Arabidopsis thaliana: one gene and its partners. The protein of the gene in region 2 purifies or fractionates together with the protein of the main gene of each other region. This does not show direct contact. Each region holds a gene or a part of one and is shown on either strand. Other genes may lie near its edges.

What was found.
Region 1: the proteins of AT5G08450 (region 2) and AT1G07170 fractionate together in Arabidopsis thaliana (co-fractionation; one large-scale study listed by BioGRID). This does not show direct contact.
Region 3: the proteins of AT5G08450 (region 2) and AT2G30000 fractionate together in Arabidopsis thaliana (co-fractionation; one large-scale study listed by BioGRID). This does not show direct contact.

Annotation. Positions count from the first base shown.
Region 1 is NC_003070.9:2,196,795-2,203,405, reverse strand, and holds AT1G07170 (PHF5-like protein), read right to left. Parts: upstream 3,410-6,611; 5' UTR 3,187-3,409; exon of another isoform or gene 2,769-3,186; 5' UTR 2,721-2,768; coding exon 2,388-2,720; 3' UTR 2,134-2,387; downstream 1-2,133. Other genes in the region: AT1G07175 (alternative NAD(P)H dehydrogenase), read right to left, coding at 284-335, 636-756, 934-1,024; AT1G07160 (Protein phosphatase 2C family protein), read left to right, coding at 3,728-4,180, 4,487-4,831, 4,907-5,251.
Region 2 is NC_003076.8:2,725,424-2,736,063, forward strand, and holds AT5G08450 (zinc finger CCCH domain protein), read right to left. Parts: upstream 7,503-10,640; 5' UTR 7,318-7,502; intron 7,220-7,317; exon of another isoform or gene 7,183-7,219; 5' UTR 7,150-7,182; coding exon 5,483-7,149; intron 5,039-5,482; coding exon 5,031-5,038; intron 4,605-5,030; coding exon 4,429-4,604; intron 4,250-4,428; coding exon 4,189-4,249; intron 4,106-4,188; coding exon 4,007-4,105; intron 3,865-4,006; coding exon 3,770-3,864; intron 3,640-3,769; coding exon 3,526-3,639; intron 3,390-3,525; coding exon 3,322-3,389; intron 3,184-3,321; coding exon 3,073-3,183; intron 2,998-3,072; coding exon 2,751-2,997; intron 2,658-2,750; coding exon 2,547-2,657; 3' UTR 2,190-2,546; downstream 1-2,189. Other genes in the region: AT5G08440 (uncharacterized protein), read left to right, coding at 40-88, 489-802, 919-1,022, 1,305-1,350, 1,497-1,547; AT5G08460 (GDSL-like Lipase/Acylhydrolase superfamily protein), read left to right, coding at 7,797-8,097, 8,282-8,409, 8,913-9,155, 9,323-9,587, 9,708-9,928; PEX1 (peroxisome 1), read left to right, coding at 10,502-10,640.
Region 3 is NC_003071.7:12,801,690-12,808,291, forward strand, and holds AT2G30000 (PHF5-like protein), read right to left. Parts: upstream 3,336-6,602; 5' UTR 3,192-3,335; intron 2,709-3,191; 5' UTR 2,686-2,708; coding exon 2,353-2,685; 3' UTR 2,134-2,352; downstream 1-2,133. Other genes in the region: TBL45 (TRICHOME BIREFRINGENCE-LIKE 45), read left to right, coding at 4,015-4,478, 5,096-5,267, 5,862-6,043, 6,167-6,325.

The DNA.
Region 1 (6,611 bases), on a different chromosome or scaffold from region 2:
AGTAAGATCAACTTGAAATATTTTGAACAGAGGAGATCACAACGTTTAACAGCTGAGGCATTACTTAAGATTTCTTTGCCTATTACAACAATCTTTAACCGCATACAAAGTAGCACAAAAAGATCATCAAAACTGGAAAGCAAGGATTATATATATACACCAAACGGTTCATAAAAATAAAATAAAAATTTTGCAAATTATACGTGCTTAATTATACTCTTGACTACTGAAATTTTTGTCTTTCTTTTTGCTCTATTTTTTTTATCCATCTTTAGCATTGTGGTCATGTGCTTCTGTTTCGGTTGTCACCTTTGTTATTGGGATTTTTATTTTTTCTGTTGACAAGTTGAGAAATTTTTGAAAGGTAAGAAGACAAAATAAATAAAAAGATTATGCATTGTTGACCACGGAAAATTAAATAATTATTTTTACCATTCATTAAACATTGAGATTAGAAGATACGAGTCTAGGTGTTCATTACTAATTTATTAATGTATCAGAACGTATTATTTGATGGAAGGTTTTTATTGTTCAGTATATAAAGAGATGACATACTGAGAGAAAATGAGTAAAATTAAAGATCTTAAATGTATCCAAAACCATATTTTTTTATTTTTATCTTTTTATTTATTTACCCTCTCCGACCTCCTCCACGACGCCTTCCAGGTGGATTGTGTTTGGCGTTGGCCGATGGCTCGCCGTAGTCGTTGGTGCTCACCATCAATGATCTACCCCTCACCATCATCTTTTCGTTTTCTGTCATGCATGCAGGTTTAACATATATTACGAAGCTAAAACTTAGATAATTACGAAAGTAATTAATCCAACGATATACTATTATGGATTTCAAAATTCGAATGAGGAGTTTATATACAACTCCAAAATTTGATCTTTTCTGTATGTAGATAGGATGATGAGCTCGATTTCTCTTACCTGAAAATGAAAAAGTTAGTCGAGCCGAAGAGACGATTGAAAGTGCCAAGAAAATGCATAAACACAGCCGAATTGCATAACAAAAAACCATCTTCTCTTCTCTTTCCCCTTTTTCTCTTCCTCTTTCTCTTCTCTATTCAACTATATCTCTCGTAACCCTCTCCTTTTATAAACGTGAAATGGAAATGTATTCATTAATAATAAAGATTAATTAACCTTATTTTTCAAACTACTTTAATATATATATTTCGGACAGTGCTACATAACCGGAATAGTGCAATTTATTGACATGGAAGCATTCCTACAAACATATCATTTTGAATGTCTAACCCAAATTCGAGCAAAATACATTTATAAGGAATTAGGGCACAACAAAATTTAAAACATTTTGATTAAAGATTGGTGTAGATACCTGCAAAGGCATGTGGTTTGAAATATTTTGATATTAAAAGTCTGTCTATTACAACATTTTACATCACTATATAAATCTTGTGTTTCATTGTTTCAGTGGTCTTCCCTGAATAAATCATCAGCGTAAACGTTTCTTACAAATTAACGTTTTTCTTAATGGCTAGCTACAATATCAAATTTTCGTCTAAATATTTTTTGACTCGTAAATAGCAATTATTTAGATTATGATTGAATTAATTCGGCTAGAAATACAGGATCTGTTTCGAAATAAAGTAGCTGATGTTTAACACGTGTCATTGTCTTATTGGAGATAGGAGTTGACTATTGCAGACAAATTGTGGATTCCACACTGTTAAGTTAACAGTTAACACATAAACGAAGCGAACATGCATGGGCAGTTGACTTACAGGCACCGTCCGATATAAAAAGTCAACGTCTATATTTTTGGCCCAAAAAAGGGATTTTGGGGTTTCCTTACTTTGAAAACGAATATTTCTGAATTCTGACGATCATGTGGGGTTTTTTATGTAATGGATGATAACCTTTTTGTCGACGTTAGAGAGTCAGAGTTATTGCGTATTCTTTAAAGTTTTAAGTTGACATTTATCTAGAAAATTATAGTTATCGCCCAGCTATGTATTCAATCATAGCTGAATTCACAAGTGGTAATGCTGTTAAAACTTAAAAGAATGAAGTTGATTTATACACAAGATTACGTTAATTTTGTGAGTCAGATAATTCATTGGCAAACACAGAGGGACGGTGTTTCTCCAGAAAACTTCCGAGGCCTAATCCACCAACTGAATCATATTTATGGACAACCAAACGCTAACAATCACATAATTGACAACCACTTAAGAAACAGTAACCAACCATAGCAATGGTAATAAGGCTGACTAAATCAACAAACCATAATCCTTAGTTTGAACCCATGTCTTAAATTACTTCACCGGATAAAATTTCCTTAACACAAACAAGACAAGTACAGACACTTTCCTAGCATCAATAAATAAAAGATCAATAGCTCAAGTAACAACAAACTACTATCGTTTTTTGAATCCATATTTCTTACGTTCATAGAACAGATCAGTTTTGGCACTGCCAAGATTGACTATCTTAGGACAACCATCTCTATCTTTCTCCTGTTGTGTACACTCTTTGCAGTAGTAAGCATCCGAGATTCCAACTCCTCCGCATATGACACACCGCCCTTGGAACGAACCATAGTTGCATTCATCGCAAATCCTAACCAGAGTACACGGGCGGACATAGGAATCACATATGACGCATTTTCCATCACACTTCTCGCACAGTCGCCCAATAGCAATGCCAGGTTGTTTCCGGCACATGATCAAATCAGGATGATGCTTGGCCATGACTGCTTAAAGAAGATCTTGCTCTTCCTCGATTAAGAAGATTTTGACCTGCAAATAACATTGGTTAACAAAGTAAAGAAAACACAATTTTTGTTTCTCAGAGGCATTTCAACAAACACCTATCAGGCAGCAGTTATTCTACTTACAGTTCCACTCAAGCTGAAACTTTTCTATATCCAATTCTAGCTAAATCAATGGAACGACGGTAAATTCTTGAAGTTCACTGAAAAGTGAACAAGAAACGAAGCAACAATGGAAACCATCAATTCGCTGAATCGAACACAGATAAACAAGAGAAAGCTGTTCGAGCCCAAAACGGAGCGGCGCAAAAGAATAAGCATAGACAACGCTAAACCCTAAGAATTCAGAGAAACATGAACACGGAACGAAATTTCTGAATCAGTAACATCTATCACGCATAAATCAAAGTTAAAAAACAACAAAGGAAAATATTATCGAAACTAACCTCGAAGGAGAACGAAGAAGAAGAGAAGGTGTCTGAACTAGCGATCCCTGATCTCCGAGCCGCCGATCCGAACAAGAGATGGCTCTGCAAATAAAACGACCCGGGTCGGGTTTCTAAAGATCCATGTAGGTCCGACTTAATATGGGCTATCTCATTAAAGGCTTTCCTGATGGGCTTTTTAATTTTAGGTGTTGATTTCTTTCCTATTTCGGCCTTATTTGACTTTTTATCTTCCCAAAGTCATTTAATTTCTGGAAAATCGCAGTTGACAAAGAAAAAGCAGAAAAAATGGACTGTGGCGGTGGATTCATGATTTGAAAAAGTCAAAGAGAAAGATGAGAGTGGTAACGTTTGACCTGGAAGAAGAAGAAGAAGCAACGGCCACAGAGAAACAGAGAAAGACTTGTCCAGGTCTTATATTATATATTCAAGCCTCTTTCTTCTCTCTCGTTGACACTAAACAGAGAAACACAAACGTCTAGAAGACTAACAATCAAATCAATCATCAGAAAAAGGAAACTTTTAAGTTTTCTACGAAACGATGTCGTCTTCAGTTGCCGTTTGCAACTCACCGGTGTTCTCTCCGTCTTCGTCTCTTTTCTGCAACAAACCGTTGAACACTTCTCCGGCACATGAAACCCTAACCCTGTCTCTTTCCCATCTCAATCCTCCCGTTTCTTCTACTTCTCCTTCCGCCGCGTCTCCCACATCTCCGTTCTGCCTCCGTCTCCTGAAACCGCCGGCTAAACTAGGGTTTGGATCGGACTCTGGTCCGGGAAGCATTCTGAAGAGGAAACGACCGACGACGCTTGATATACCGGTGGCTCCGGTTGGTATTGCAGCTCCTATATCGAATGCAGATACGCCGAGGGAGGAGAGTAGAGCAGTGGAGAGGGAAGGTGATGGTTACTCTGTTTATTGCAAGAGAGGTAAAAGAGAAGCTATGGAGGATCGTTTCTCTGCCATCACTAATCTTCAAGGAGATCCCAAACAGGTAATTTCAATTTTCTTCCGTAATTTCGAGTTTATTTACTGATTATTGCTTAATTAGTATGAATTGCGATTTGAAGATGGGTAATATATAACTTAAAATTTATTTATGCTGTGTTGTTGACTCAATGAATCAAATTAGAAGTTCTAAAGATTATAAGAAAATTCAGTGAATCATATATATGACAAATTGTATGAGTAGTTCTTGATTAGATAGAACCAATGACTAGTGTTCAAGAAAAAAAAAAAAGATAGATCCAGTGACTTACAAAATGGGGATTTAACATTTTTAGCTTTTTTATAACCGCAGGCAATATTCGGAGTCTATGATGGTCACGGAGGACCAACAGCGGCTGAGTTTGCGGCTAAGAACTTGTGTAGTAACATTCTTGGCGAGATAGTTGGTGGGAGGAACGAGTCAAAGATTGAAGAAGCTGTAAAACGTGGTTATCTAGCGACTGATTCTGAGTTTCTCAAGGAAAAAAACGTTAAGGGCGGCTCGTGCTGTGTCACGGCTCTGATCAGCGACGGAAATCTTGTGGTGGCCAATGCTGGTGACTGCCGTGCTGTTTTGAGCGTTGGAGGATTCGCGGAGGCCTTGACTTCTGACCACCGCCCTTCCAGAGATGATGAACGAAACAGAATTGAGAGCTCGGTAAGAATTCTTGCAAAAGAAGTTACTGTTAGGTTTTATCATGATTACATGGTTCTGATTACGATAATCCTGCAGGGCGGTTATGTGGATACATTCAATAGTGTTTGGAGAATTCAAGGATCATTAGCGGTATCTAGAGGAATAGGAGATGCTCATCTCAAACAATGGATAATATCTGAACCAGAGATAAATATTCTCCGAATCAATCCCCAACACGAGTTCTTGATCTTAGCATCAGATGGTCTATGGGACAAGGTTAGTAATCAGGAGGCAGTAGACATAGCTCGACCATTTTGCAAAGGGACCGATCAGAAACGGAAGCCATTGCTGGCTTGCAAGAAGCTCGTTGACCTCTCTGTATCACGAGGCTCCTTGGACGATATTAGTGTGATGTTGATTCAGTTGTGCCACCTCTTCTGACCATAGGAGAAATGTAGAGACAGAATAACAACGTTAGAGTCTGAAGTCATTCTTAATTTCTTACATTTTATTTTTTATTGTTTTCTAAGCATTCACTGTGAATGATTCACATATTCTTTTATTCGTTTTTAACTTCATTTAGTCATTTGAGCTGTTATGATACTTGTGTATACCATCTTAGACTGTCTTTACTCTCTATTGATAATCCTTATAGCCTTATAGGTCTTCTATGTAAAAACTCGTTAAGGCTTGTAAGTTGTATGTGAGTACTTTACCACTCAATACATTATATATTACTACTCTTTTATGAGATAATGTGGATCGACTTAAATGTGTAGGCTAGTACTGGTTTGTTTCAAGAGTTCATAAAATTCATGTTTTGAAAGTTTTTTACTTTTACGTTTATATGGACGCGTATTTCTTAACTACGTTAGTTCATAAATATCTTAGGCTCTTAGCCATTACCTTAATCCTATAAAATATTGAAAAGTCTGAAAGTTTAGTACGGTATTAAGTACATAGTGCAATGTCATTTTCTTAAGTTGTTTTCCAAGTGGATTCTCCTAGACATGCAAATTGGAAAATATGGTATGGGTCCTAAAAATCTTCAAATAATATCTTATGTTTTGGACATTTCTAGTAATTTATTCACCCACACATATATAAAAGGTGAAATTAGTTGCCCTAAGAGGATATGGAAGCAGTGGTGGACCGTTCAAATAGCACTTCACGTTCGCGGAAGGTCAAAGCTTGGCCAGAGAAACAACAAACAAAGTACATATATAATTTAGTTGCGGCGGCATTTTTTTTCTTTTGGAATTAATGGAAGAAAGGTTTCTGTATTTTGAAATAATTCAAAGATCAAAGAAAGATTATAGTGCATGCATAAAAGTTCGAATTCTAATGGTTAGCTAAATCATTAGCAAGCTTTGACCAAACTTCAATCGTAGTTTCAAAACACTAAATTGATATGTTATCAAAACTTTGATCTTTCTACCACTACCAACCCACTATAAATCCCAAGAAAGATACTATTGTAGTGATCTGGCTATTAACCATCCCAAGATTAATTCCCAACCAACGATCTCCTCAATTAAAAGTTAAAACCCTATCTTTTATTTTCTACCTTCCATCTTCAACTCGATCTCCGTGATATCTTTGGATAACGTTTTTGAGTAAATTCTTGTGCTTCCTTCATGATCCCAACCAAACAAAGAATAAAAACTAATATAATATTTTCACTATGCGTGGAGGTTGATCAAGCACGTCAATTCCCAATATGTGTGTTCAGACAACTCGTTAATATGTCAAAGAACGTGAGCCAACCGCTTCATGCCACGTAAGTTTCCAAATGGACCCC
Region 2 (10,640 bases):
CTGGATTTTTTATTCGTCTGCTTTTCTTTCGGAATCTAGGGGGAGCTTGTGAGGGTCTTCGCCAATGAAAATTGCAAGATCACGTGTCGTAAGTCTATGCTTTTACTCTGAAACTTTTGTCGCTCATGTACTTAACAAAACTCGATCTGTGGCTTGTTTGATCCATACCTGTTGAAACTCCGTAGTTTACCTCATGCGGAGAAAGCACTACTGCGTGACCTGTTTTGTGTTGAGTTAAAGATATCAAAACTGCATGACTTGTCAGTTTATAATTCAGTATTGGTTTCTTCTGGCTGTTTTTCGGTTGGTCTGATAATTCAATTCTATCTCCTTTAGATCTGAGCGTTTCTGGTAAATAAGAAGAATATTTCTTGAAAAGTTTCTTGGAAAGCTTACTTTGCTGTTAGTATTCTTAGATACTGCAGGGATTGCCGCTGCAAATATTCTGTGAATTATCTGGTGACTGGTTTCCTCTTCTATTTTCGCAGATCCAGAGATGCAGAGTCATATAGAGAAGAGTCTTTATAACGGTCATGCTTTATTCAAAGTCTCCTATTCAGTATGCCACTTCTCTTATTTCATCTTTTACAAATCTGGTCTTTGGTTTTCCTGCACATACCTCCTCTATGTTACTCTCTCACTTGTGCGCCTATTGCTTTTTTACTATGCGATCTCTCTTATGAAACAGATTGGTTATTTGGATATATGGGAAGCAGCTACATTGTCTATTAAGAAAGAAGGCTACAGCATCAAACCTACTAATGACCCTGTAATTACAGAAAAGTTCTCCTCTTCTACTAATGTAAGAGTCTTGCCTTATTTGCCCCTTTGTGTTAGAAATGTAATATTGGCTGAATTATGTTAACATACATCCCGAAGAATGAACTAATATTGTGATCTTTCTGATTCTGCTCGTAGATTGTGATTCCCTTTGATCAGCCTGCGGATTTTGTGATTATTGGTACCGATGGCGAGGAGCATCTCTGTCGAGTAGTGGACAATGATGCAACAGATCTTAGCTGGTAAGTAGAAGTCGTCTTTCTTTGGATAAAGTAAAGTAGATCAAAACTCCTTCGTCGTTTAAAACAGATTTTCTTCTATGAAAATAGATGAAAGTGAAACGAGACGCTTTTTGTTTTTGTTTCTTTCTGATTTCAAATGCATCACCAATAGTCTAAACTTGAATTAGAATAATCTGCTAGTGTTTTCTTTTTAAATGAAGTTGTTTAATGTGTTCCAAGTATTCAGTTTTGGGTTTCTTGTATTAAGCAGTCAATCTTCTGTTTTGTGTTTGTATTTGGCAGCTCAAGAGATACAATTGTGCTCACCCTTAGATTATTTCTTAAGAAGGTAATGTTTCAGACTAATAACCATTTATCTTCTTTGATAACATGGTTGATTCGTTTCCTTTCTAACAAAGCATCATAGTCATACTAATATTAGCGCTTTTTGAGAGAAGCAGTGGTTGATTGTTTGGTTCTCTGATTTGGTTGCAGACTCTGCAGAGAAAGAAGGGGAAGAAAAAAGGATTTTTGTTTAACAAATGAGAGTTTTTGGTAAATAGTATTGTTGGCTCTTTTGTTTCTTCTCTGGCCTCTCCAGCTTTAGAATATTAGAGATAGTCTTATGAACGATTCAGAGTTATTTATGTAAGGCTTCTGTAGCTGATTAAGAAAAAACTATTCAATCAATTTCAGTATATGAAAAAAAAAATATGAGCAAAAAAAAAAGTAGTAATAAACCAAATCTTTTGTTGATCTGAGTTCCACTTTACATTTCATTACAAATGTCGGTTTTCAGAAGAAGATGAAATGAAATCATTTCTAAAGAGAAGCCATTCTATATTCTAAGTCAACATGTAATTACCAAAATGCCGTCTTTGGCATATGTGATGTTCATTGAACCACATCATACAAAGCTAACAAAGCCCAACATATGTGATGTTCACTGATGGCATATGTGATGTTAAAGTGGGCTAGCAGCCCGCGGGCCTGAACGGGCTAAGTATAAAAAGGAGCTTAGAGAGGAGGTTATGCAACTAGGAGTGAGCTCTCGCTATATGTTGATGTTCTTGCTGCATGATGAAATTCTAGTGTGTTGCAGTTCGGCTTGAAGTTATGGAGAAGTGTTAAAAGCGGCCCGAAAATTGGTAGTCCCGTGGGGGAAAGGCTGCTTTGGTTATCCATCATGTCTCCTCGAGAAATATCAAACCAAAGAATGGAGTATATCATATTGGTGGCAAGTCAGTCCAATGGGGTTTGATCAGGACGGCTTGGGAGGATTTTGATGCTGGAATCAGAGATATGCACAATCTTTTTTTGATTCTCGAAAAGGGAACCTGGGCAGATGGCCGAGTGTATACCTCTAGTGCTGAAGAAGTTAGGTGGCAAGTTGAGGTGTGCCAAGGATGTTTCTGACGATATATAAATAAATGTTACAAGGAAGAAGTACACAAGACAAGATAGGCCAAAGTAACTGTAGTCTCTAATCCATAAATAAAATATAAAAAGTTTTGTAAGATAGAAGCAAAGCATGAAAGGTTTTTTTTAGTTGGGGGAGAGAAAATGAACACGAGCAAGAGTGTACTCTTTTCCAGCAATCCAAACACCAGTTTGTGACCACTGTACATCTTCCCAATCAAGATTCTCCTCCAACACCTACTCCATTCCAAAATCCACAACACATCATCAGCATTTGTTTTATAAAGAATTTTCAAAACAAGAAGAGTCAAATTGGAGAAAAATGTTAACCTCGATATGATCTGCTGGGAGTGGAAACCCGATAGACCGCATAAGCTTCTGTGGGAGAGGTTTCTTACATCGTGACCAGCGGAAAACATCAATTAAACTGTTGTCTGAATCTGTTTTGTCACCGTTTGTCAGATGGTTCTGTGACTTGTTATTATTATTATCTGTCTCCATAGCTTCATGTGATGATTGTTGTTGTGAGGCTTGGATTGCTTTGATGGTCTTCTCTCCTGCGAAACAGAGCTCATACCTTTTTGCATACACAGATTAGATTCAGCGTCTTATGTCATTAATGTCAGATAAAAGAAACATGTGATGTGCATACCTGCATGAATGAGTTTCTAAGTACAAAACTTCCCCTTTCTTCAAGCGGGCAGAGGTGAAAAGAGGCTTCTTGAGACCTTTATCAGCAACAATGCTTATGCTATATTTAATCCTGCAGACAAGTAGATCGATGCGTAAGTAAAACTGACCCTTGCGTCTGATAACTTTTAGGTGACAAAGATTTCTGATAAATTTAGGAAATTCTGTGAACAATTTTTGAAGTATTTGGAGATTATTGACAGAGAGTTACCAAGGTTCATTGCAGAGATTGTATTGTATTGTGACTTCTCGTACAAACCTTTGTTGCCGCAGAGCATTCTACAGAACAGTAAATAAGTCGTCAGTGTTCGAAAGATATGAAATATGAGAAAACTATGCAAGCCGCCATGTGTAATAATCCAAGAGTTGTAAGAAGATTAAGAGAGCAGATATTTCCAAAGTGGAAGGAAAATACCGAAGCTGCAGCTCTGGTGGTCATAGATCTTTCAACAGCCATTGGTGCAAGAGTTGGCTCCACAGTTGAGGAGTGTGTAAGGGAAGGTTCCAGTTCAATAGTCCCACCTCCTTTCTGGAATCATATCATCAGAATTTCCATAAGGAGTTTTACACAAATTCACTTAAAACTAGATATTACGCACATAGTGGGAGAAGATAATCAAGGAAATTAGAAAGACACATAATGGCACATGTCAAATCACCTTCAGTATATAGCACCGCTCAACTCTATAACTGCATCCGATTCCAGCTCCCCATGCTCGAGAACGGACATTGTTCCTTAGCTTGGAGGTGTAGTCTAACAAATATATCAGTTAAGTTGGAAGTTTGATAAAGATTCTTCCTTGATATAAAGCAGAGAAGAGCTCAACATAGTATGAAGTTCACATGCAACAGTCAGTTAAAGGAATCAAAAGCAAGACAGAGGTAAGCTAACTTACAATCTTGTGACGGCAAGACTCTAATAGTAGTGCGCAGCTCTTGCATTGTCGGTGGAGGAGGAGAAGCTGTGGGACGACAGTAACCTGTATGCATGAGAACTAGATGACAGGTAGACCAGAATCAATGTCATGTTCGGGCCAAACAAAGATAATAATTGCATAAGATTCATTAGGGTACATACCAGCAACAAGATCGGAATCGTCTGTGTATATATCTGTTCCCCATAGTTGGCCACCTCTTACCTGCACACGAGCCAAATGTCTCAGCAAGTAACAAACAAGGGAGCTGTGTTTCTCAAATTAATAGGCGAAGTGAATTAAACAGATCAAAAGACTGGAACTAAAACTATATGCACCAAGTCATCTAGAAGAAAAACAATGAAAATGATTATGAGAAAAATTTGGATATATATTCGACTTACTTGGCGATTTGTAGCAGTAACATGCTCAGCTGGAATCCTAACTTCAAGAGTGGGGCCATTATTAGCGAAATCACCGCTTTTATCAGGATGAGACAAATCATATTCTTTCCACAACTTAATCAGTTCTTGCATACATTCGCCAACTTTGTAAACAACAATCGACACCTCTGACTTGCCTGAATCATCAGTACAATAAAATTCAACAAGATCAAATTATGAAGTGCAAAGGGATTCAAATTGTGTAGAAAATAAAAGAAACAGAAAAATGATAAAAGTTAAAAAAAAAGCCAGGGCAGTAAGTAACTTTTAGCAGCCAAAATCTCAAGTAGCATTAAGGATCACATCGACTATTAGGTCCATATTTTTAGATCTTGAGGTTCTTTATATATTTGACATTCTACTGTGAGAGTAAAGAACAGTAACCTAAGGACGACCATAAGAAGAAAATCTCAAAATAGATTGCTTATCAAGTGCATGTGTGTTCGTAGATGACCATTTCAGTGATATGTAAAAGAAAAATGTCATAACCGGTTTTTTTTTACTATTGTTCTCCAAGCAGTGCAACTTGATCCTTTCTTGAGGATATAGAAATGAATGATTACCTTGTACTCTGCAAAATAAACACAATCAAAAACGGATGATACATTACAAGCCAGGCCAGTAATTACAAAAACAAAAGTCTTGAGCTTAGCTAATACCTAACTTACGTAATAAAAGACATAATATTCTTAACACAGATAGAAAAGGAGCGGAGAGGAATCCAGAGAAAAATCAAATTTGGTTTTCAGAGATAAGACACTACATAATACACATATGATTGCAGAATTTTATTTAAAGGCTTTTTATCTTTTAAGAGGAAAAACAATAATGGTAATAAGATATTCAACAATAATGGCCCCTTCATCATATAGTATCGTATCACCTGCAGATATTACTATATAGGCTCCAAATTTAATCAATGGGGTATGTCTCTCTAAATGGTAAAGATAAAGGATTCTACTAAGCAATGAGAAACATATAATTATAATTAAACGAGGAAGACAGAGAGACGCACCCTTCGTTGTCCTGACTCCGTGAGCGGACATTGTCGCGATTAGTGGTTTGTGGGCTGCCTCTCGGTCTCAGCGCTCTCTTCCTCTGCTGAACCCCATAATTGAAGGCATCCTTTTCCCTCTCGGTAGCTCCTTCACCCTCTAAACACCCATCTTCAGATTCTTTTTCACTGATTCTGCTGCGCTTTTCAGCTCTTTCTGCCTCTGAATCACCATCCCTCTCTCTCCTTTTTTCCTTTGTTTCTCTTTCGTCTTTTTCACAATTATCCGGTTCGTTCTGCTTCTTCTGCTCTGGTGCCACATATTCCTGCTCTGAGGGTTTGGCAGATGCTTCTCCCAGCTCTTTCTCGTTCTGCGAGATCTCTTTCTCAGCACCAGTCCTTGGCTCTCTTTTGATATGATCTTTATCTTTCTCTTTATTTCTTTCTCGATCTTTCTGCTCCATCCTCTCCCGTTCCCACCTATCGGATTCCCTTTCTTCTCTTCCAATCTCTTTGGGTTCACTCATGACACTACCAACAAGCACAGATACTCGACGGTCATTTCTATCCTTGTCTCGGTCCCCCCATTCTCGATGCTTTAACTCTTTTCTTTTCTTATCTTTTTCCTTAAATCTATCTTCGTTTTTGGCATCAACCTTGTTTTCTCCGACGGTTTCACGTCCTTCCAAATGAGACCCCTCCACAGGCGCAGAGAGATCTTTAGGCCCAACCTCAGTTGGGCCTTGCGGATTACCGCGGGATACAACCCACGGGTCCACATTTGCAGTCGAACCTTCAGCAACTCTCTTCCCTCTATGGTAATCCTTCTGCTCTTTCCAAGCCAAGTGAGCATGCCCTTCCTTTTCCATCTTAATCTCCCCCTTTTGTTCATTATAATTTTGATTCTCCCTATCAAATTTTGTATCCCTAGTATAGCTACCGGCATTACTTTTCCCGCTAAAATCATCCCCTGGACGCTCAAACTTGGCATCCCTGTCACTCTTAGGACCCTGAATCTCCCTCTTAGTCTCACCATACATCTCTCTCCCATCATTCCTAGTATAGCTTCCGGTATTACCTTTTCCGCTAAAGTCATCTACTGATCTCTCAAATTTCACATCTCTGTCTCCCTTAGGACCCTGAATCTCCCTCTTTGTCTCACCATATATCTCTCTCCCATCACTCCTATTTTCTCTACTCTCAACCCTAATTTCCCTGCCATCCTTAGCACCATCTCTCGGCTCCATCGGCACAGGGGCGTGAGTCAAATGAGGATCACTAGAAGAAACAGTTGTGGGCAGCGACGGAGACCGATAGACAAGAGGCAGAGGAGAGCGTCTCTCTCCATCTCTAGGCTCGCTTCTCGCAACCTTAACCACCGTTCTAGATTCAACCTCATAAGGAGCAGAAGCAGAAGCAGCAGCAGCAAGTGGTGAATGGGAGTGAGAATGAGAATGAGGGTGAGGAAGCGCCTGGAGGTGAGGTTGAGGCTGAGATTGAGATTGAGATTGGGGATGCTGATGGGGCTGTTGATGGTTATGATGAACCTGAGCCGGTGGTGGCGTCACAGGCTGATGCGGCGATTTAGGGTAAGATCCAGAATCCTCGTGAGGGTATTTTGCTACTGATGAAGAAGAAGATGGATGAGTAACACCCTCTTCGTGAGATCTCTTTGGAACACCACTCATCACTCCCAAATTCAATAACCCAGAAATTCACTGCTGCAACAGATAGAATTGCACTTAATTCATACACAACCTAGAGCAAAACACAGAATTTGAATCACCAGACTAAACATTGAATCCCTAAAATGAACACAGAGCCGAAGATTTTTTTAAAAAGGATATTTCTTTTACCAATTGAAACTGAAGCAGAGCACGAAGAAGCAAACCCTTTTGGATTTTGCCGCCGGGAAGTAATAAATGGCAAACTGGATTCGGACTTTTGCCTCTCTCTGAGTTTCTCTGATGAGTCTAATTTATTTTCCGTTCTCCTTGGTTTGCTACTTTATTTTGGACAAATGTTTATTTTTCGCGTTAATATTTGCTTCTTGTCACAGACCGTCGTGCTCTTACAAGTCTCCACAATTTAGGTTTTATTTATTGCCGTTATGCCCTCATACTTATTCAATCTCTCACTTTTTCCATAAAACTTTCTATTAATTGAATTGTTCATAGGATATAGATTTTGTCGTTTTTAATTTTTTTTATACAGTACAATAAAAAGTCAACGGAAAACAGAGCTCATTAAATTCACTGAGACGAAATAAAATAATAAATAAATAAATCGAAGGAAGGAGTCATATCACCTTGGTATTTATATATCTCAAGCGACCATGCATGATAGTGAAATATTCAAGTTTAAAGACATGATGATGATGTCTTGCACAGTTCAAACATTAGTACTTGTTCCATGGTTTCTAGTAGTATTTGTACTCGCCGGTGGAGAAGACTCATCCGAGACGACGGCAATGTTTCCGGCGATGTTTGTGTTCGGAGACTCTTTGGTGGATAACGGAAACAATAACCACTTGAACTCACTGGCTAGGTCCAACTATCTCCCTTACGGCATCGATTTCGCTGGAAATCAACCAACCGGTCGCTTCTCTAACGGCAAAACTATCGTCGATTTCATTGGTACATATTTTACATATCGGTCTCTACATGCATTTGGTTTTGAAATCAGTGCATGCATAAATTTAATTTGCACAAGAGATTCACCCTTTTACTTTTTTTTTTTGTTTTGTTAATTTTTTAGTTTGTTTTGGGTTAGCAATTAATTAATTAACATGATCATGGGGATGGATGTGGATGGTTGCAGGAGAGTTGCTAGGGCTGCCGGAGATACCGGCGTTTATGGACACGGTTGACGGAGGAGTGGATATTCTCCATGGTGTGAACTATGCCTCAGCTGCCGGAGGAATCTTAGAGGAAACCGGTCGCCATCTGGTACTTCTTCTTTTTTTTCTTTCTAAATGTCTATTTTTATTGTTCAAAACATTTTTTGGTTATATAGGATATGTTTCTTTTTTTTTACCATGTTAGTTCATATCAAAAACTTTGTTTAACGAAATTGGTCTAATCGATTGCTTATGTTCATATAAAGAATCCAAGTTCGAAATATCCAAAACTGAAACCGAAAATTGAATTGTACTATGCTTTTTTGTTAATAAGCATACGGTTTTCGATATTGAAAATTGAAAGTTATCTTTCGCTAAGTAAAAAAAATAAAAAAATAAAAAAGTGAATTTGGGGTGCATAAAGTCCGCCGGAACAGTCGTCCTTTAACCAATAGAAGTAGCCACATTTGAATCACGGGAGGTTATTTAATGTCGAGTGACTTTGATAGGGTGCATGAAAAACTTTTGCCTACGAGACATGAGTATTTAATAACCCCAAAAAAAAGACTATAATAAATGGGGTTGCATTCTTGCATGCATGCATGGATGAAGGGAGAGAGATTTAGCATGGGAAGACAAGTGGAGAACTTCGAGAAGACATTAATGGAGATAAGTAGGAGCATGAGGAAAGAGTCAGTGAAGGAATATATGGCAAAGTCATTGGTGGTGGTGTCATTGGGTAACAATGACTACATTAACAATTATCTGAAACCAAGGCTATTCCTCTCAAGCTCTATTTACGACCCTACTTCTTTCGCCGACCTCCTTCTCTCCAACTTCACCACTCATCTCCTTGTAAGTCTTATTTACGAATCACTATCAGTAATATCATTAACCATATATGTGTGTGTGTGTGAAGTCATCGAGTGCCTAAAATCCGTATAGATAATTACGAATTTTTATTTTATAACAATAATACTCATGTCAAACTAAAATTCGAGTGTTGTACAAAATTTTGTTAGGAATTGTATGGAAAGGGGTTTAGGAAATTTGTAATAGCCGGTGTGGGTCCATTGGGTTGCATACCAGACCAACTAGCCGCCCAAGCGGCTCTGCCAGGTGAATGTGTCGAGGCTGTAAACGAGATGGCTGAACTTTTCAACAACCGTCTTGTATCGCTGGTGGATCGTCTCAATTCCGATAACAAAACCGCTAGTGAAGCCATCTTTGTTTACGGTAATACCTATGGAGCCGCCGTGGATATTCTCACCAACCCATTTAATTACGGTTAAGTATCTAACTTATCCCTTGTTTTACATTTTTTTTAATCAAATGTTTCGTTTTAGCTTAGTTGAGAGCATTTTTAACTTGAAATGGTTTGATTTTGTTTTCTTTTATTGTTTGTAGGATTCGAAGTGACGGATAGAGGGTGTTGTGGAGTAGGGAGAAATAGAGGAGAAATAACGTGTCTGCCATTAGCGGTACCATGCGCTTTCAGAGACCGACATGTGTTCTGGGATGCATTTCATCCAACACAAGCTTTTAATCTCATAATTGCTCTCAGAGCCTTTAATGGTTCCAAATCCGATTGTTACCCCATTAATCTTTCTCAACTTTCTCGTCTCTAAACCCTCAACAAATCCTTCTCTTTTTGTTTATGTATTTTTGTTACTTTAATTTTGTAGACTTGTAGTAGTACTATTGCATATTTCTTCGCATTATCTTTTTGGTTGTGATTTGGTTCCAATTTGAATGTGGACCTCTAATGATTACATTATCGTTAACTGCAAACATATACGTAGAAAATGAGTCGATCGAGAAATTGTAGAATCTTTTTCTATTATTCTTGGTTTCACAAATTAATGGTAGAGACTTTCATGCATAGTGATGACATAAGATGTTGCATATTGATATGGCGGATTGTTCATAGTTTTTTTTTGTTTTTTTTTATGACATAAAATGTTGCATGTTGGCATGTTGCGGACTAATTCATAGATTATTATTAGTCCATAGATGTATTATGTACTGTATATACATCATTTCTCTTTTTTGTTACATGTTTGAACTTAAACAAAAATAAGTAACTAACTATAGGTTTAAAAGGCCCAATTAGGAAATTAGACAGGCCCAAATATAATTATTGAAGCCCAAAATGAGGCTAGCAATTCGAACAAAAAAGATAAGCTTAGGAAATTGTACCAATGTCTCGCAATCGGCAAATCATCATCCCCGACGACGTGATGGAAACAGAAGCGGTGGTTAATACCGTCGCCGGCGTCGACTGTTTCGTCTCACTCCCTCGTCAATTACTACACGCGCTTCAATCCACCAGCTCCTCTC
Region 3 (6,602 bases), on a different chromosome or scaffold from region 2:
ATTGACGGGTTTAGATCGATATTAATACAAGATGGTATAATACAGGTGAAACTCTTAAATTAACAATCAAACTACATGTGTATAATCTTAAACACTAAACAATATAGATAATATCAACAAAACATATACAACTCACAGTTTACTATACATTTAAAATCAAATAAAATAATATCATATATTTTAAAATCATCTTTACAGTAAAAGTTTTTAGTTTAACTAATATATAATAAGCCTACATGCGGTATACTGCAGGTTAATATCTAGATTATAGGGCTTATTGGATCTAAAAACGGGTCATCAAAGATTTCCTAAACTAAAGCAAAATATACTAAATATTCGAATATCTATCTGTTACCAAATTATAAACAAATAAGTTCGTAAAACAATTTAATAATTTTATATACGAAATCAATTAAATCTTAATCACATAAAAATTAGCACAAAAAAAAGTACTCAACAATTAAAAAATTATCAAATCTCTGTGTTATATAAGTTTTGATACTATATTTGAATAAAGTGTAATATACCTTTTCAATTTGTATTCTTTAACTAATAAAAGCTAACTAATATATTTGCTAATCTTATACCTATCAGAACCGACTATCGTTTATTATCTCTATAGTATTTTTGCAAGATTTTTTTTGGTGGATTTGGGTAAAAGTGCATTCGGGTCATAAGGTACATTCCCATAATAAATAAATATAGTGCACTCCTATGTTATTAGCTAAAATGTTTAGATTATAATTCAGAGTCATATCATTAATAAAATTAATATTAATAAAATAAATGGCTTTTTGGTAAGACGGATTTGGAGGGACGGGTTTTTGAATCAACATTAATAAAAAAGTAAAATATAATCAATCCACCGTTTCAATACAAGTTAAATCTTTAATTTATTATTTTTTAAGACCACTAATATTAAATATATCAAATAATCCTAATTTAGAAAAGATTATATAAAACCAAAAATGTTATGTGGTATGTATAATGTTACTATATATAAAATTAAACTATAAAATATAAATGTATTAGAGAATGATACAATTTGCAAAACTTTTATATATAAAAAATAATTCTTAAAATTTTAAAATTACTACTTTAAAAAAAATCACGGGACGGGTAAAGAAATTACAGAACGGATTTTATTTTGGAATTGTGTTATATGGTGGATGTATTTGAATTAATATTTAAAATTTTTTAAAATATTATTAATATGTTGTTTTAATAGGGGTTAAAACTTCAGTTTTTTAACAATTGTCTCATTGATTCGTGGTATAGCGTTACTTAACAACAATTATAAACTGTAAAATATAAATATTTTATAAAAATAAAATTTGCAAGTTTTAATATATATTACTTTTACAAAATAAATCGTCCCGCGGTATACCGTGGGTTAAAATCTAGTACTAATTTTAAACTTTGATTATATTTAAATACCAAATGTTTAATCAATAGTGAATCTTATGATATTTATGAGAGAAAGAAAAAACCATATCTGTTTTGTCAAAAACTCTTAATTACAATCATCCACGCAACACAATTATTGTTATATATATATATATATATGTATCCTTAACCCATAAACAAATTCTTCAATACAAAACCTGATATTCATATAATTTCTGTGCTAAATCATGGCAAGAACTGAGTTGTGTCACGATAAGCCGTTTGATCCAAGCCATTCATTGAACATCCTGATAAAGTTGAAAGCATCAGACACAGGTTTGAGTAATACATTAACAATGCCTAAAGAGTTTGTAGAGAAAAACTTATTTCCATGGTTTAGTAAACATCGTCGTGTAAAATTGTCACAACACGATTCGGTACAATTGTTGGATTTATACGAATACGATTCGAAGATTACAACAACTCTTATTATGAAAAAAGAGCAAGATGGAAATTTCAAGTTTCACGGATGGAGTAACATTCTTGATAAAAGAAAGTTCAAGACTGGTGATATTATTGGATTTTGGTGGGATAAATTTTACGATAGACTCAATTTTATATCACTATCGACTGCTTGATCGATGAACCGGACTTCACAACATCATTTCTCGAATATGAATCTCGGGTCTTGTCATGTTTGTTCGAGTCTGGTTATAAATATATTCCTTTGGCTTTGTAAGATTATGATATATATAATTTTTAAGTATTAAGAAATAATCGAGAGAAACATGTGTAACTTAAGAAAATCATAAAACAAAGCATAACTTAGGTTTTGTATCCAATATCTTCAGGTTTTATTGGAATATATGTTTTATGCAACGGGGGTCAACAAACAAGTTTACACATAGCATAAGAGATCCAAATCAAGTAATCAAAGGACCGTACAAATCACGAAATACCGAACTATCATCGTTTTTTGAATCCGTATTTCTTGCGTTCATAGAAGAGATCGGTTTTCGCACTGCCAAGGTTAACAATCTTGGGGCAACCATCTCTGTCTTTCTCCTGCTGTGTACACTCTTTGCAGTAATAAGCATCTGAGATTCCAACGCCACCGCATATAACACACCGACCTTGGAATGACCCGTAGTTGCATTCATCACAAATACGTACTAGAGTACACGGACGCACATAAGAATCACAAATCACGCATTTCCCATCGCATTTCTCACACAGTCGTCCAATAGCAATTCCGGGTTGTTTCCGGCACATGATCAAATCAGGGTGATGCTTCGCCATGGCTTACTGGAACAGTGTTTGATCTGCAAACCAAAACAAAAGCAAAAAGAGGTCATTTGTCTATATACTCATTCACAAAGGAAAAGGTGAGCAAGAGATAGCTTAGTAAAAGAAAACTAATAAGCTCCTTCCAACTAAATGGAGACTAGGAATTAATAAAACTACTGAAAAACTAAACTCTAATCAACAGTTAGAGAATCAGAAAAGAAAGTAAAACTTCAAAAAAGAAGCTTGTCACTAATAGTTTCTCAGAGGAATTTCGTCGAACACCTTACATGCATCAGTTCCAGCCAAAATTTTCTAATTTCCAGTTCCAGAGGCCTACTCTACTAACCCAACAAAATCGTGGAAGAGAAACTATCGATAAGAAATTTGAAATTTGATCAAACTACCGAAAGCTCCATCAATAAGCATAGACATTACAAAATACAAACCCTAAGATTTCAGAGCAACGAAATCAGTACACAAAATAAACAAACCCCAGAAAAAGGTGAAATAAAACTCACACAAGTAAAGGGAGATCTAACTTGAGCCAATAGAGAAGAACGTTGCGACGAGAAATTTCCAGAGCGCCAAGATCGACGACGAAGCAAAAAGAGCAATAAAACGAATCGGGTCGGATTCTACACAAATAACGAAGCATCCAGATTCCAGTTTAGTAAAGTGGGTCCAATCAGAATCTTTAAAGCCCAAAGTAAAAGCCCATTATTATTGGACCAGATTAGTTTAAGTTGCTCCAAACCAAACCGGCAGTCAAATCAATTAAACCATGTCCTAATCAATAGTACCCAATTTAGACCCGGTCCAAACGTTACCGTTTATGAGTGTGCGCAACTAGCAGCTGCCACTGTCAGTGCCAAATTGGTAATTTCATTGACCTAGCTTTGACTGAGTATCACCACAGTGACGTGGCTTTTTCACAATTATAAAAAAAATGATCATATTCTAGACATGGAGGTAAAGTAAAGCAAAGAATCTGCATTTTTGTATTTTCTCTAAGGAACAATTACAAAATCTTGATACCTTGTGAGATCATAAAGAAGGTCGTTAACTCGTTATCTATTATATTTATATACCTTGAATTCTTGATACGTTTGTTTTACCTTTTTTTCTATTGATAATACGTTTGAAGTTTGTTTTACTGTTACACATTGATTTTATATGTGTTTCCCAAAACCGTTTAAGTTTCAGAGTCCGGAGCAGTAACTCGTAATTCACTAATACTGGTATTAAATGTTGTTATTTATGGGTAAAGCATAAATACTTAAATTCAATTATTATAAGAAAATAAATTAAAACCCGACCCCATATTTTTCGTCCTTTTAAAAGATGGAGTCCTCGAAAACATTACGTATTAGTAAGTTCCATGCAAAGGACAAACATATAATAACAACAACTTCTCTTCTTTACTCGTTTCTCTCTCTCTCTTTTCTTTTCTTTTCTTCAAGCGCTTCTTTAATGGCGGCTGTTCAATGTCTCACTTTCCTCTTCTTGTTTCTTCTCCAAAACGCGACGTCAGCTTCACCTCTCCCTCTCTTCCGGCGGCCGATCCAAAGCAACCACAGCAACTTCGTGAAGCATCCTCGCCGAAGTCAGGTGGTTTTCCCGGTGAATCATAGTAGTTGTGATCTGTTCGCCGGCGAGTGGGTGCGGGATGAGACTTACCCACTTTACCGGTCTAAAGAATGCGGCCGAGGAATCATAGATCCGGGATTCGACTGCCAGACTTACGGCAGACCTGACTCCGACTATCTCAAGTTCCGGTGGAAACCTTTCAACTGCAATGTCCCTAGGTTATTTAAACTCACTCACTTGTCACTAGCTCTACTTTGTTAGATTAATTTGGTTAATGTTAATTTTAGTTGTCTTGTTTTTGAGGAAGAAATATTCATTTTATTGATACCGAGGTTATAATCTGACATCCAATAGTAAAACTTATGCTTTGGCAAATGAATTTTTGGTAGGGCCACTATACCAACCAAGATTGTAAATTTGATTACTTTATGAAAAAGACAAAAACAAATTCTAGCTGGTTATACCAAGAATTGTCATATATATACGATAGTATTTGGATCATACAATGATCCCAAATTATTTGTTAGTATTTAATATTTTATGGTTATAGACATTCCTTCACTACATTTTTTTCATAATTAGGGGTATTACATACATACAACTTTATAATATATTTTTCTATTAGTTAATTATGAGAGATTCTCCTTTTCTAAATGTGTAATAAGTACAAGTTTAACAGATTCGTTTTTAACAAAAAACAAATTGATTTTACTGTTAATTAGGTGGAGTTTGGTACGGTTAATATAATAAGTACTTATTATTTTAAATATGTAATGTCGACGCAATGATTTATTTATGGAACCCCTTTCTGATTATACTCCATTTGGGAAAGCAGATTCAATGGAGTGAAGTTTCTACAAGAAATGAGAGACAAAACCATAATGTTCGTTGGTGATTCGTTGGGTAGAAACCAATGGGAGTCGTTGATATGTATGATCTCTTCATCAGCACCGTCCATTAATACTCACATCATTCATGAAGATCCTCTCTCTACCTTCAAGATCCTTGTAAGTTCCCAAAACAAATTTTCTATTGTCGGTAAATGAAACTTTTTTTCTGTTTGGTCAAGTTTTCTCGAATAACCTCGTGAAAATTGAGGTCAAAAGTTGTAATTTTGAACGTCGTTTTCAACTATTATTACCCTCACAACTTGACGTCGTCGGTGACAGTTTCACTGGTCCAATAAAGCAATATCAGTTACTACTAATCTACAGTATTATACTTCTTTTTTTTGGTATGAATATGGAATATTAGTTTATTTTCAGATAATTTTGATCTAAGCTCTTCGGATTAGAATAAGACCACTAGAAAGAAGTCATTTTAATTAATCTGAATTAATTTTCTTGCTATAAATTGAAGTTCTTATATTACTTTAATAATACTTTCTTTAAGTTTCCGATAAGAAAACAATTTTAGCTTTCAGCTTTATTCTTTTAAGGCACTTAAATGAAAACAATTTTAATTTGCTGAAAATAAGTTTAGGTCTATTCATTAAAATTAGTTGAAAGGCGATAAACAAACTATTGTTTGTTACCATTCAAACCTTAAGTTATACCTCAAGTTACTTCCAGTTCTTTGCTAATGTGTATATGCAATGACAGGACTACAACGTGAAGGTATCATTCTATAGAGCTCCTTATCTTGTAGACATCGACAAAATTAACGGAAAGACAACTCTTAAACTCGACGAAATCTCTGTGGATGCATCGAATGCTTGGCGCACAGCCGACGTTCTATTGTTCAACACTGGTCACTGGTGGAGCCACACAGGTTCTTTACGAGGGTAAGCTAAAGTTATAACCTCTATATAAGTGAAATTTTTCACATACCTATAACTAGGAGGGTAACATATAGATCATTATTGTAAATTATGAGTGAATAGTGAAAGTTTTTTGGGATGAGACAGGTGGGAGCAGATGGAGACAGGTGGGAGATATTACGGCGACATGGATAGGTTAGTGGCGTTGAGAAAAGGACTAGGAACGTGGTCTAGTTGGGTCCTTCGTTATATCAATTCTCCTCTCACTAGAGTTTTCTTCCTCTCGGTCTCACCCACACACTACAAGTATGTACCACTCTCTCTTAATCTTAAAATGAATTATTCAACCACTAAACTATCATAAATTAGTTTTTCTTTGTTTTTAACACTACACGAGACTTTGGGAGCTATGTGATGAATGATGATAATTAGCATTATACGAGACATATATAAGCACGTGTAGTGTTGATAATTGATAAATTAATTATCTTGATATTAACGACGCAAATTAATAAATAGGAAACATATGCGTTGGATTGATAGTTTTTGCTAGATGTTGCCAAACTATATTAAATAAATTGGC